3 linked regions of the Oryzias latipes genome follow. Each later gene encodes a partner of the first gene's protein in a complex. Links are inferred from orthologs where the notes say so. Each region holds a gene or a part of one and is shown on either strand. Other genes may lie near its edges. The genes, in order: tnpo3, cirbp and cpsf6.

Evidence for each region.
Region 2: the proteins of tnpo3 (region 1) and cirbp are in contact, whole or in part, in a crystal structure (PDB 8CMK), measured with the Homo sapiens proteins. The link is inferred for Oryzias latipes from reciprocal best matches to the Homo sapiens genes TNPO3 and CIRBP. Residues at the interface, in NP_036602.1 of Homo sapiens: Arg620, Glu660, Arg661, Cys663, Arg664, Arg667, Phe668, Arg671, Ser698, Cys699, Tyr702, Ser705, Ile706, Asp709, Glu710, Asp747, Asp750, Asp751, Arg754, Arg758; in NP_001271.1 of Homo sapiens: Tyr160, Arg161, Ser163, Tyr164, Asp165, Ser166, Tyr167, Ala168.
Region 3: the proteins of tnpo3 (region 1) and cpsf6 are in contact, whole or in part, in a crystal structure (PDB 6GX9), measured with the Homo sapiens proteins. The link is inferred for Oryzias latipes from reciprocal best matches to the Homo sapiens genes TNPO3 and CPSF6. Residues at the interface, in NP_036602.1 of Homo sapiens: Arg620, Asn656, Arg657, Glu660, Arg661, Arg664, Arg667, Phe668, Arg671, Ser698, Cys699, Tyr702, Ile706, Asp709, Asp747, Asp750, Asp751, Arg754, Arg758, Gln761, Cys793, Arg797; in NP_008938.2 of Homo sapiens: Tyr521, Arg522, Glu523, Arg524, Ser525, Glu527, Arg528.

The regions. Positions count from the first base shown.
Region 1 is NC_019881.2:23,831,785-23,835,984, reverse strand, and holds the start of tnpo3 (transportin-3), read right to left. Parts: upstream 2,939-4,200; 5' UTR 2,824-2,938; coding exon 2,704-2,823; intron 1,873-2,703; coding exon 1,672-1,872; intron 1-1,671. UniProt on the Homo sapiens protein: Importin, which transports target proteins into the nucleus. Specifically mediates the nuclear import of splicing factor serine/arginine (SR) proteins, such as RBM4, SFRS1 and SFRS2, by recognizing phosphorylated SR domains.
Region 2 is NC_019875.2:22,782,549-22,786,722, reverse strand, and holds the start of cirbp (cold-inducible RNA-binding protein), read right to left. Parts: upstream 2,877-4,174; 5' UTR 2,751-2,876; intron 2,108-2,750; 5' UTR 2,096-2,107; coding exon 1,996-2,095; intron 1,911-1,995; coding exon 1,804-1,910; intron 1,722-1,803; coding exon 1,589-1,721; intron 1,498-1,588; coding exon 1,359-1,497; intron 1,286-1,358; coding exon 1,227-1,285; intron 830-1,226; coding exon 816-829; 3' UTR 317-815; coding exon of another isoform or gene 312-316; 3' UTR 1-311. UniProt on the Homo sapiens protein: Cold-inducible mRNA binding protein that plays a protective role in the genotoxic stress response by stabilizing transcripts of genes involved in cell survival. Acts as a translational activator.
Region 3 is NC_019881.2:14,392,023-14,396,278, forward strand, and holds the start of cpsf6 (cleavage and polyadenylation specificity factor subunit 6), read right to left. Parts: upstream 2,890-4,256; 5' UTR 2,839-2,889; coding exon 2,779-2,838; intron 20-2,778; coding exon 1-19. UniProt on the Homo sapiens protein: Component of the cleavage factor Im (CFIm) complex that functions as an activator of the pre-mRNA 3'-end cleavage and polyadenylation processing required for the maturation of pre-mRNA into functional mRNAs.

The sequences.
Region 1 (4,200 bases):
GAAGAGCAGCAGGATGCTGTGAGTGTTAAGATGCAGGTTTTGGTGTAAGCACCCCCACCCCACAGAAACCGGCTCCATTAAGATATTTTCAGAATCACCCCCCACCCCCATGTCTCTTCAGTCTCCCTCCCTCCCACAGTTCCTGTTCCCATGGAGGGGGGGGGGGGTATTTTTACATTTTTCGGTCTTATATAACTGCTATTCGTTATTTTACTTTATTTTATTTCCCAACTAATGACTAATCCGCAATGATCCAGTATAAACTGAGGGAAGTGACTTTAAAAAAGTAACAAACAAACTAGAAGAAATGGTCGGCTCCCACACTTCACTAGTCAAGTGGACCGGCGGAGCGCGGACTTACAGCTTTGTGTTTGAGTGGAAGGGGGGGGGGGGGGGGGGGGGTGCTTTGTTACATGAGCGCTATGTGGGAGATTTAGAACTGCGATCCGTCCCGCAGCTCTAGGTGAACGGCCTACCGAACTCAGAACCGGGTCTAAAAGTGTGTGTCTGAGCAGAGGATCGTGAGCACACACACAGCGCTTTGGGGCGGTGTGAGCTTCAAAGCAGAAATGTCGCTCAGTCCTTAGAAATCGTTCAAACAATCACGTGGATTTGTGTTTCCAGTCGTGTCCCGACTAAATAAAGGCTGATGTTATTCCCACATGTTTACATGCAGCCAAGATGCAGATTGCAGCGCCACCCAAAGCTATTGTTGTTAGCCCGTGTTAGCATACTGCTAACTCTGGCTTCGTTCAGAAAAAGCCCTGACCACACGGATTAAAATTCAAATGATGAGCGAACAGGTGTTTCATAGTAACCGTAACATTATTAAAAGCACGTTTAGAAGATCATCTCGTATTTTACCGAGCTGACATGTCAATGTAACTAGCCGCTCAGCGCTGTTTAACATTGTTTTGTATTGAATTGTTACATTCAATAAAGTTTGAGATAAAAATAGCCGCTCGGCGGAACTGATATCCGCTTCCGGTTTTTCAAACCCTACTGCGCATGTGCGAATGATTTATTCCGACTGAAAGTGTGACCTTAGTGAACGTTTTTATATTCTGAAAACATTTTTCTGGGCCCATGTACACGGTTGGATTCTAATCCGACCATTGATCCCATCAAGATATTTTGTACATGTAACCGGGGCTTATGGTGTCGACTCGCAACGTGGCGGGGGCGTGGCATCACGATGGTGTCTCTCCATCGGGATGTCAGTCACCCATCACGATGGACGATGATATGGTCCATCGGCACAACCCTAGATGTCAACAGTTCTGGGTTCCTCACAGACAACTGTCCAGTAAATCCCCGCTTAATGAGGAGTTCTATGCTGTGTGCTTCTACAGGGCTACAGAACCTGCAGAACTAGAACGTCCTCCGATAGACTTGTCAGAAAAACTGAGGCCATGTCAGAATTTGATCCAGAAGGAACCGAGACTCGGTCTAGGACGGTCCTAATAACCGCACTTCCCTGGAATCAGATTCAGTGAATCCTGATGACTTCACCTCACTTTGGAGGTTTTATGCAGAACCTTACGTTTTTCCACAAACTGAGGTTTGCAGAGGAGATACAGAGACAGGAAACAGGAAGTGACCTCACACGAGGAGACAGGCGAGTGTTTCCATCCAGAACCAGAGGTTCTGCAGAGCTGCAGGTGCCCTTACCTGTGTGACGATGATGGGCGACAGGTCTTTGAGGTTCTGGATGTGGGTCAGGAGAGAATCCCGTAGTGCATTGTGGGTTTCTGGTGGAAGCTCGTAGAAGCACATCTGGATCTTCATCTTCATGGTCTGAGCAGCAAAGTAACAGGACTCAACGTCCTGTCTGAGCTGCAGCAGCTGGTCTGAAATCTCCCAGGCGTACATCTGCAGGACAGGAAGTGATGTCACTGAGTGGTCCATCACTCTGCTCCCAACAGAACCCATAAGCAGTAAAAAGCAACATCTATTTATATCAGAACCAGCTCAAATTGGGCCTTCTGGTGCTGAGCAGGAACCCAACCAACACCCGGACCTGTTCTGGTCTGAGCTGAGCTTCTGACCAAGGTTCTTCTGTCACCTGGACTGACAAGCCCAGTCCATAATGTCCCCCTGGCTGTCTGGGTCCAGGTCTGCGTGGGCTTCTGGATCTGAGCAGCTTTTAAAACTCTGTTGCCCCCAGACCCAAACATCTGCCTCCTCCCCCCCATCAGCCAGCGGAGCCTGGCGTCGGCTCGGTTTCTGTTTGGGTCCGACAGACTCGGCTGGCTTAGGGCGGAGCGGGGGCACGCGCACCTGAGCTGTCAGTGATCGCACGCATGCGCCCGACCGTCAGCAGTGACGTGGACAGAGGCAGCCGCTTCGGGATCTGCGCAGCTTCAACAGGAAGTCGGTCCAGCAGCTACATTAGCCCGGCTAACAGCGCCGGGCCGCTGGGGCTCAGACCCCCCATATAGACCCCCCCATGTTCTCCAAAACACCACAGAACTCGAGAGGAGGCGCGCGGGACAAGTTCTGTCCGCGCCCATGAGCCCCAAACCCAAAGGGGACCGGCGCGGTTCGGCTCGAGCCCATTCATCCCGTTAGCTTAGCAAGAGGACCGAAGAGGAAGCTCCTCTGAGACTGCGCATTAGCGCACCTGTCCGAGCAGGTGATCGGTCCAAACCCACACCGGCCCCACCAACACCCCGCCGGCCCGGCCCAACGCTGCGCTCTCACCGATCTCTGCAGCTCCCCGAGCCACACCGAGGCTCGCTCCTTCCCCGCTGGGTCCGGGTCGTTGTACAGGGCCTGGACCGCCTGGTAGACCAGAGCCAGGTTCGGTTTCCCACCCTCCATCGCGGCTCAGAGGGACGATACCACTTCACAGACGGTTCGGAGAGAGTTCTACGCTGTCCGGGTTCCGACCGCCATCTCGCACAGACTTCGGGCGTGCGGCATTGATCGTACTCCTGCGGAAACTCGAGCGGGAACTTTAGTTCCGCGCTGATTTCAGTGTGACACAGAAGGGTCCGTCTGCGCCTGCGCGCCGCCTGCCTCCGTCTGCCCGCTCTTTTCCTTCTCGGGAACCGAACCGTTCCGAACCGTTCTAGACCAATGAAGAAGAACCGGGACAGCCACGAGAATAGACCCTGAACTGTGCAGACCCGGACCTCGCCGTTTGTGACGTAGTGATTGCGTCAGCGGAAGTGTAAAGATGACCCAAAAAAGGTGTTTTGAGAGTTCTGGACGTGGGAAGTGATCACTTTCTGCTTAATATGTTTCTCAACCATTTCAGGACTTCTGTGACTCCGATTTATCGACAGCAAACAGATTCTGGATCATTTCTGAAAGAAAATCAGAAATGTTCAGAGGAAACATGACAACTTTAAAGAGAGGTCGGAGGATGATGGAGGGATTACGGAGAAGCGTTCACGAATCTACCGTCTTTGTGGAGATAAACCCTGTTCTGGTTCTGGTTCTGGTTCAACTCGGCCTTAATACCTGTAAAGGCTGGACGTCAGTCAGTAGACGTGATTTCTAGAGCTGTTCACAGAACAGAAGTCACAAGATGAGACACAGGGTGAAAAAACACCAGAGACTAAACATGGACCATGGAGACATTCCTCTGAAGCCAAATAAAACCGTTGCAATGCAAAATAAAACGTTTCCTGTTGACTTTGACAAGAATGCACAGAGTCCAGAGCAGCAGCCCGCGAGGTTCTGTCTCCTCTGGTCCAGAACCGTTTTCCTGGAACCATCAACAGGTTCTGATCCACAGACCTCAGTGCACCAGATGGTCTGTAGGGGGCGATCAGGTCACAGACACACGGAGCAGTTTGACCATGGAGGCCCTAAAAGTCAACACCTAGACTCTATACTGAAACCGGTAAACAACCGGGAGCCGATGGAGAGCTTTTAGGATCGGGGGGGTGGGATTGGTTCTCTTAGTGCGGGTCAGGATCCTCTCAGCAGAGTTCTGGATCAGCTGCAGACGAGACAGCTCCTTCTGATTCAGACAGGAAAACAGAGTGTCACAGAAGTCTAACCGTGTAGAAACAAAGGCATGAATAAGAAGTTCCAGATCTTCATATGACACTGAGCTTAGAAATGTTCTTCGTCTGGAGGAAACAGTTCTGGATCAGCTGTTTGGACTGAAATGACCCCCAGGTTTCTGAGGCTGGGTTTGATTGACAGCCTGGCCAGGAGAACCCAAGAGCTGCTTCCTCCCTGGTG
Region 2 (4,174 bases), on another chromosome or scaffold:
CAACAGGCAGAATCAGGATCATTTTCCATGTTTCGTTTAATAGGCTCCATGAAGCCAAACTGACAAAAAAAAATATTCTTGTATCATACAAAGAACAAAAAGTACAAAACTGTTCCCGCTTTAGACTAAACTTTTGGGTAAACGAAATTACATTTTGAATCACTTTAAACAGTCCATTTTACAGCACATTTATAATGCAGACGTTGAGCAGAGAGCACAGAAGATACCTTGGACAGACTGTAGCATGCTGCATTGTGCAACTTCATGAACAGCCGGCCACTTCGGATGTGTAGTTCACCAGTCAAAGGCATTCACTCTTTTGGGAAATGGAACAGAAAGGAGCCTTGGCTGAATGAAGGTTCTCTCAATAGGAAAAGGACTTCATCCATAAACCCCAAAACTATTTAAGCTTTTTCCTTACTCAATTTAAAACTCTTAAGGAGGTAGATGATTGACCAAGGAAAACTATGCCCCATTATACTTTATAATAAAAATTGAAAATTATATTAGAACACATGTAAAGTGTCAGACAAAAAAGGTCTACAGCAAAGCTGTCGCTGAGCTATCAGAAGCTCCCAAATTGAGAATGGCTCTGTGCTCTACCAAGGACAGATCGAATCAAAGCTGTAGGAAGTTGTCAAATTGAGCCAGGCAAGACTCGTTAACTGTTGTAACAGGTTTTGAGGAGCAAATTAACAACTACACTTAAGGTGGCGAACTACAAAACAGGTCAGCAAAATACATGGACAATTTTCTTGAGGAGAGCATCTTTCAAAAACAGCCAGCCAAGTGATGGTCTTGATTCAAGGAGGTGTTTACTCGTGTGAAGCTGGGGGAGCAGAAGTGGGCAAAAAGGTGAAGACACTGAAAGTTCCGACACTGGAGTTTCATTACATTCTTCATCCCACCAGGTAGTATACTAACCCTCCCTTTATTCTGTCAAAGAGGCACCGTCATAGGACAAGGCAACTTTAGAGGTGGCAGCATTATTTCGTTTTCTCCTCCATCCTCTTGTGCAAAGTTCGGAAATTCGTAATATGAGAGGGATTGAGGTCTTTTTTTGCAACAAGGGGCAGATTCGAGATCAAGTTGTACCAACTAAAGGTTGAGGACACCCCATCACGAGCTGCATTTATGACTAGGCATTAAACTTGTTCCTAAAAACGCTACAATCCTAATGATTATAGTCTTTTAGCCCCAAAGTGTGATTAAAGCTCAATGCTTACCATAGCTGTCATAGCCGTCCCTGTAAGACCCAGATCGGTCACCATATCCTCCCTGCCCCCTATATGAATGATAAAAATTATTAATTCACCTCATTATGCGATCATTCAACAATAAAAAATGATTAAACTTACCTATTGTCTCTGTAGCCGCTGGATGAGTATCCACCACTTCTGAATCCGCCACCGCTTCCACCAAAGCTCCTGTCTCCGCCTCCAAAGCTCCTGTCGCCATAACTTCTGTCTCCGTAGCCTCTGTCGCTGTTGTAGCCACCTATAAACATGAAAGAAACAACGGATTAAAATAGGGTTTACCGCACCAAATTTAAAGTGGAGCGAGGTTTTTATTCTTCAGCAGTTCTCACCCCTGGAGAAACCACGGCCGCCCCTACCCCTTGATCCGCTGAAGCGTCCACCGCGCGGGCCTGATGAAAATCCTCCTCTGGCGCGACCTCCCTTCCCTGCTTCGTCCACTCGGATCGCCCGGCCATCAAGCGTCTGGGGAACAAAATGCATGAAATTTTAATTTTATTTTTAAAACAAAACTTCTTAAGCAAGAAATAAATAATCGACAACATACCTTTCCGTTCATTGCGTCCAGCGCATCTTTAGCATCTTCAACATTGTCGTACTTCACAAAGCCGAAACCACGTGATCTTCCGGTCTCTTTGTCTCTGATCACATCGACTGAAAAGACCAAAAAAAAAAATTGTAAAAAAAAAATAACGACACTAGTGTTTATACAAATTTTAAAGCACCGTCAAATGTTTACCTTTTTCGATGGTTCCATATTTGCCAAAAGCGGCGGCAAGAGAGTCTTCGTTGGTCTCGAAGCTCAGACCTCCAATAAAAAGTTTGCCTTCGTCCGACATTTTAAGGGATAGCTGCATATAAAGAGAAACCAAATCGATTATTAAAAAAAGAATACATGAATAAATGAAAGGAAACATCGAGCATTAAGGGTTACTAGGGTGGGGCATTGTGAAAGTAGGTCAGCGAGACGACTCAAAATGGCGACCGCACGTTGCGCACTTTAGCGCCAAAGCTGGACCGCCTTAAATTTAACTTAAAATTTAAGTTGTTTTTATGAAAACATACCATAATACATTACTCACAATTAATATTGGCTATATGCACCTTAAACACAACGAAACGGTACAAATAGATGGTGCTGCGAAGGATTTAATTTTTTCACCCAGCGCCATTTTGTGGCGTCGAGCTCGTCTTCTTTGTTCAATGACCTACTTCGCCACGAGTCCGCAAAGCCTCTTTTCAAGGTTACATAAGTGCCCCACTTTGAGAAAATTAGGTCAACGACAGTTTAACCTACTATTACTCATACAATTACTGCAAAATATAGTTAGTTTTTTACGCATTTTAAGATTGAAAATCCTAAATTTAAAAATTATGATTTTCCTAAGACAAGTTAGATTGCGAAGAAAAACATTTAGGTCACTTGCTCTTTAAAGCAAACATAAGCACCATATTTCACCATTTCAACACAGTTTAAAAAAAGACTGCGATTACCTTTGTCCTTACAAGGGATGGAGAGAAAGACGCACGGTGCTGCAATGCAGATAAATGGCGGGGGAGGGAACGGTCCTTCGTATTTATACAAGCTGCATCTTCTTCTTCTATGGTGGTTTAGAGCTCTGAAATCCCGCATTGTAACTTTAAAGGCTAATACCGCCACCTACTGTTCAGGAAATTCTGGCGGTTGGACCCGGAAAACGACACCAAACAAAGAGATTTTAGAGACCGAAACTAAGCCCACGTGTTGTTCTGTAAGGAAAAAGGCATTTAACCCTCAAAAGAAAATACTGTTCGAAAAGCAATTTTAAACCCTTCTCTTGCCTACTAGTCAAAGTTAAAAGTCGTTTATTTTGTTGGGTTGTTGTTTTTGAATTTTACAATAAAGTTTGCTTCTTTTATAGTTTGCTAGTATGCTTCTTTTTGCTTTCATACATCTCTTAAGTGTTACGATCGTTTTTGTATTTTGAACAAAACATGTTTCTGCTGTAAGTTCGGCATGTGTTAAATACGTCTTTTTTTGCCTTTTCTGTTTAATTAAACCACATTTTTTGGAGAAAACGTGGGTCTCTTAAAGTTGTAAAATTTAAACCGTTTTTGTAGAATTTATTAGCAGAGCAATATATAACTTACTTCAAACTAATCTATTTTATAATCAAAAGGGAATTCGTGCCATTTTCTGATTGTTCCATTTTGGACATTGAGGATCACACTTGAAAGCAAAATTTTATATATCTATGAAAATAAAATTTTATTATGTGCCATTTTCAAAACTACAAGAATTTTAAAAGAAACAGTTTAAGAAAGCTAAATATTGAAAGCACATTTTTTCATATTCACACATGCATGTTTTATTCATATCCTCTGACTCCACCTAACAGATGAAGTTAGGTACTGAATAATTACATTAACTTTCCTGCATTCCTGAAGCTGAGAACATTTACAGAGATTCAAAATAATCTACTGCTGCATCCTAACCTGTGCCAGAGTGCACTTTTTGAGTTGGAAATAAGACAACAAAGGTTTATTTTTTCCAAACAGCAACCCAAATTTTAAAGGCTAAGAATTTTTTTCACTGAAAATGTTAAGGATAAAGATTTTCTAATTCAGAAAACAAACTTGAATCCTGAGGAACCATATGACAGTCATTTTTTTTTACTAGTATGATGCATTGGGGTTCTGTCCTCTTTATGCTTCTACCCTTCTTCTCCTCTCTATTCTTGATCATTATTCATAATTTAGTTCTCCATGCCTCTGTTTGGTGCAGTGCGATTCATGTACTGTCCTTCTTTCCCTCTCCCCTCCAGGTGAGTGGGAGTGCTTCCAGATTCCAGTTGGCTAATCCGTGCTCCTGTACCTGACCGTGTACCTTGTCTCTGGCTCGCCTCTACTACTGCTTCTACACCTGGCTGTGGATCCTG
Region 3 (4,256 bases), about 9.4 Mb from region 1:
GAACTGGATACTCCGATTCCTTTAAAAGAAAAATGAGTTAACACAGTTAAAGCAAAACATGTGGGGTTCAATTCCACAAGAACCTGAAACTGTGGCTCAACGTTTATAAAAACTGGGGATGTAGAAATGCATCTTTTAAGTGAAAGATATTATGGATGGATATTATTTTTAGTAATGTACAGGGGTGTAACGATTAATCAACGAATCGATTTATTTTCTTACGATTGAAACAGATGTATCTGTCTAATCTAAGGTAAGTTGCTTATCGAATTGGCAGTTTGCCACAACTGGGACGCAGAGGGAAAGACAGTGGCTGTGACAACATTAACCACTTGGATCTGTCGCCTCTTTGCATCTTTCGGGATTAAAAACAGTGACAATCTCTTCTCACAATGAGCTTTTGTCACCCCTATGGGGCCAAAAGGAAATGGTCCATTCAAGCAGCGCTGTTACTGTGACCCCAACCACTTTTATAGTTTCACATAGGGCTGCACGATATGAGGAAAACTCGCGATATGCGATATTGGTGATTAATATTGCGATAACGATATGATTCGCGGTATATAAACAAACAGCAAAACAACCAAAAACATAATTTCCATTTCACTGCAACAGTTTAAAAATTATACTCCAAATGACCCTTGTCGACATAGGAGGCAAACATCAAACATAAAAGGGCTCATCTGATTGATCAACAACGTAAATGGGTCCTTCCGATTGGTTAAATGCATAAAGGGATTTATTTCATTTGTTCAATATTTCAAGCTGCCACGAGATTGTTTTAGCACATTTAAGGTAACCATTTATTGCGATTTTCGCCGTCTTTTGTGGTATGCATATTGCACAGCTTAATGTCGCGATAACGATAAATTTGCGATATATTGTGCAGGCCTAGTTTCACACAATGTACGTTACTTTCTGCCTTTATGAACGGGTGATTTAAATGATTGTGCACTGCAGGCAAAAAAAACAAGTTTGCCACGGTGACGTAATGACCCTGTGTTTTGAAGCTGTTGGCGGTGAGATGACAGGTGGGGCAATACGATGAGCGCATGCATAAGCGGGAAACGCGCTAAAGGTTAATGAATGCACAGCCGGTTTTTTAATTATATTTAGGATGTCACAGCGACTGCCATTTATGAAGTTATAAGCTCAGTTTGTTGATAATACCAAATAAGGTCAGATTATACCCTGACTTTTTTATGTTCTGACAAATGTAAATGTGAAATGAGAAAAAGTTTTAAAATGAATAGTACAGCTGATCGCCACTCCATTTACTGGGGGTGAAAAAAAATGAAGAATGTCCAATTGTGGAAAATTTATATTACTATAATTAGCATTCTAAGGTCAAAGTAAAACATTTACTTTTACATGCAATAAAAACACCATGATAGATTTAATTTACATGACGTATACAGTATGATGTACCACAAATGCTGTACTTTTTGTTTCAAACTAACATAGTTTTAAGTTATTTAAGTTCACTTTTTAAGTTTGGCCTATTTTCCTTGTGCAATATTGTTATGAAAGAACGTCTTTGAGGTAATGCCAAAATGCCTGCTGTTGGGAATTAAATACATTTCTAGACATATTGAACTTTTTTACATTCTAAATTTCAAAATGGCACTTTATGTCACAAATGCTGTTGACCCCTAATCTATAGAAGTTTACTGCATATCACCAGACGCTTACTTAGCTCCCTGTTTTACTGGAAATTGCTGCAGCTATAATAAAACATGGAGACCAAATAGTGCTAGAGAGTTAGTCAACAAGAAGAAGCTGAAATAAAAGAAATTACACCAGAATTTAAAAGTAAAAATGGTTACTAGAAAAAGCAAATTACTATAATAAATTGATTTAAATTAATTAAATTCCAAAAGCATTTTTTTCTCTTTATTTTATGTCACGCTTTATGAGGAAAAAAAGAGTAGTAAACTTAAAGAAATGTTAAAAAAAACTAAAACATGACTAATAATTTTTAAGTCACTGGCTCTTAATTAAGTTTAGCTAAACAATTTTAATAAGAAACAAGGAAAAAAAACATTTATTTTTAAATGTTTAGCTCCGACAGTATAATACCATAACAAATTCTGTGCAAAACAAATGTCAGTAAGTTATGATTTTAGTATGCGGTCTAAAAAGGGGGGCGCGGTTTTTAATGTGCGCGCGCGCAAGAATAAAAAAAAACACCCACCATGCATGATGACCCAACCTGCTGCCAGAATGGAAGCCGTGTAACTCGTGTTTTCCCCTTTTGTTTTTATTTTTGACGTTTTTAAAAGTACACCAAGTTACATTTGATCCAAACTATAACCCACGTCCAATACAGTAAACCAATTAAACGTGTGAAGTTAACCAACACCAGCTAGCTTATCATGAAATGCGTGTTTGGTTAACAGCCTCCGTCGGGAGAAAAAAAAAAAAAGAAAGCACACACTGCGCGGCCTATACGCGCGCTCCACTGAAAAGGCTGCTAGACGCTTTGCTGATGGACAAAAATGTACATATTCTAAATAATAACCCACATCACATTTACCTCCACATGTGTACTACTGTTTGAATAAAAAATGCAGATCTATTGTACAGAAGTTTGCTATCTATGCTGCAACCAACGCAGCACACTGACTGACAGAGGCCTGTGTGTGTATTGCTAGTGGAGAAGCTAGCACGAGCATCAAATTACACCTATTTTTCCTATAACGCCGAAAAGACCATTGCAAAAATTAGAAAAAGAACTTCAAAGCACTGAACAAACTCGAGAATATTTTATTTTAATACCTGATTAAATTCCTCTTCTACGTCGGCGTAGATGTCGATATGATCCACACCGTCCGCCATTTTCCTCTGCTTCGTGCCTCCGTCCGCCTGGCGGTGCAGAGGATCGGAGCTACAAACAATAACTCCGGGAGATGCATCAGCGCCCCTGCTGGTCGTATTCACTAACTACAGCCTGCTCTGCTGGGAATGACGGATTCATTGATCATCTGCATTTCACTTTAAACATTCATACTACTGAATACGACATCTATAAAAAATATAAATTATTCTGTTATGTATTTTGTAATTACGCATTTAAAAGAGGAATTCAATATCTATTTATTTATTAATAAATGATTTTCACAACAATGGAAATGCAATTTCTAAAAGAACTCAAATAGATAGAATAGATCACGCTTTTTTCTACGTACAGCTGTGCACCTGCCATTACTGTTTTGTTGATTGAAAATTTCAGCAAATTTGACACAAATCGCTGGAAGAAATGGTCTTTTAATAAAAATTGTAACAATTCTTGACAACAAAGTTAAAAGTGAAAATAAAAAGCAAAGTTATGTGTAAAGAGAAGAGTGAAACATGATCTCCAACTATATAGTTTCCTGTGTATTAGGTATTGCTGTAATTATACTATAATATTTTTTTCAAATTAAAAATATAAATATTTTAAGACGCCCAAGTGGCTGGGATAGGCTCCAGCAGCCCCGTGACCCCGAAAGGGAATAAACGGTTAAGAAAATGAATTAATGAATGAATGAATATTTTAAGTACATTGACAAGACACAAAACATTCTATTTTGGTGTATTATTTGTAGACTCACATTTTACACTATATTAGACATTTTATCAATAATGTCATATAAATAAATTTAAATCTGGCTTTTGATCAACATTTGAATACTTACTCTGATGTAAAGGATACAATAATAACTATAACACATAGGATTTTACCTTAAAAAGTAATTTTGTAAAACTTTATTGGAAAATAAAGTTTTATTTTTTGAAATCATCTGTCATTCACAATCCAATTTGTTGAAACAACCACTGCTATCATACTATATCTTTATAAATTTACTGCTCATTTATATGAAACTATAAGTTTATAAATAATAGGTGAATAAAAGGAGACAAACAGAAATGACACACAGTCAAAGTAAATGTAATAAAAACAACTTTGTGGATCTTTTATTTTATAAATAATGGCTTTAATCCATGTAATACTTTCATAAGAACAATTTACAGGTTTGTTTTACAAAGGAAAAAAACAGAACAAAAGAACAAAATCACATTCCAAGTTTTAGCTCCTCCTAAAAAAAATCATAAACATTTCATATATATTAGATTTTACCTCTGTCAATAACACAACCAAAGACAACAACAACAAAAATAATAATTTCAGTCAGACCATTTTAAATGTTTTAGTTAAAAAGAATATAAAAAAGGTAACAAATATATTAGAAGTAAATCTTTTTAACATGCAAAAA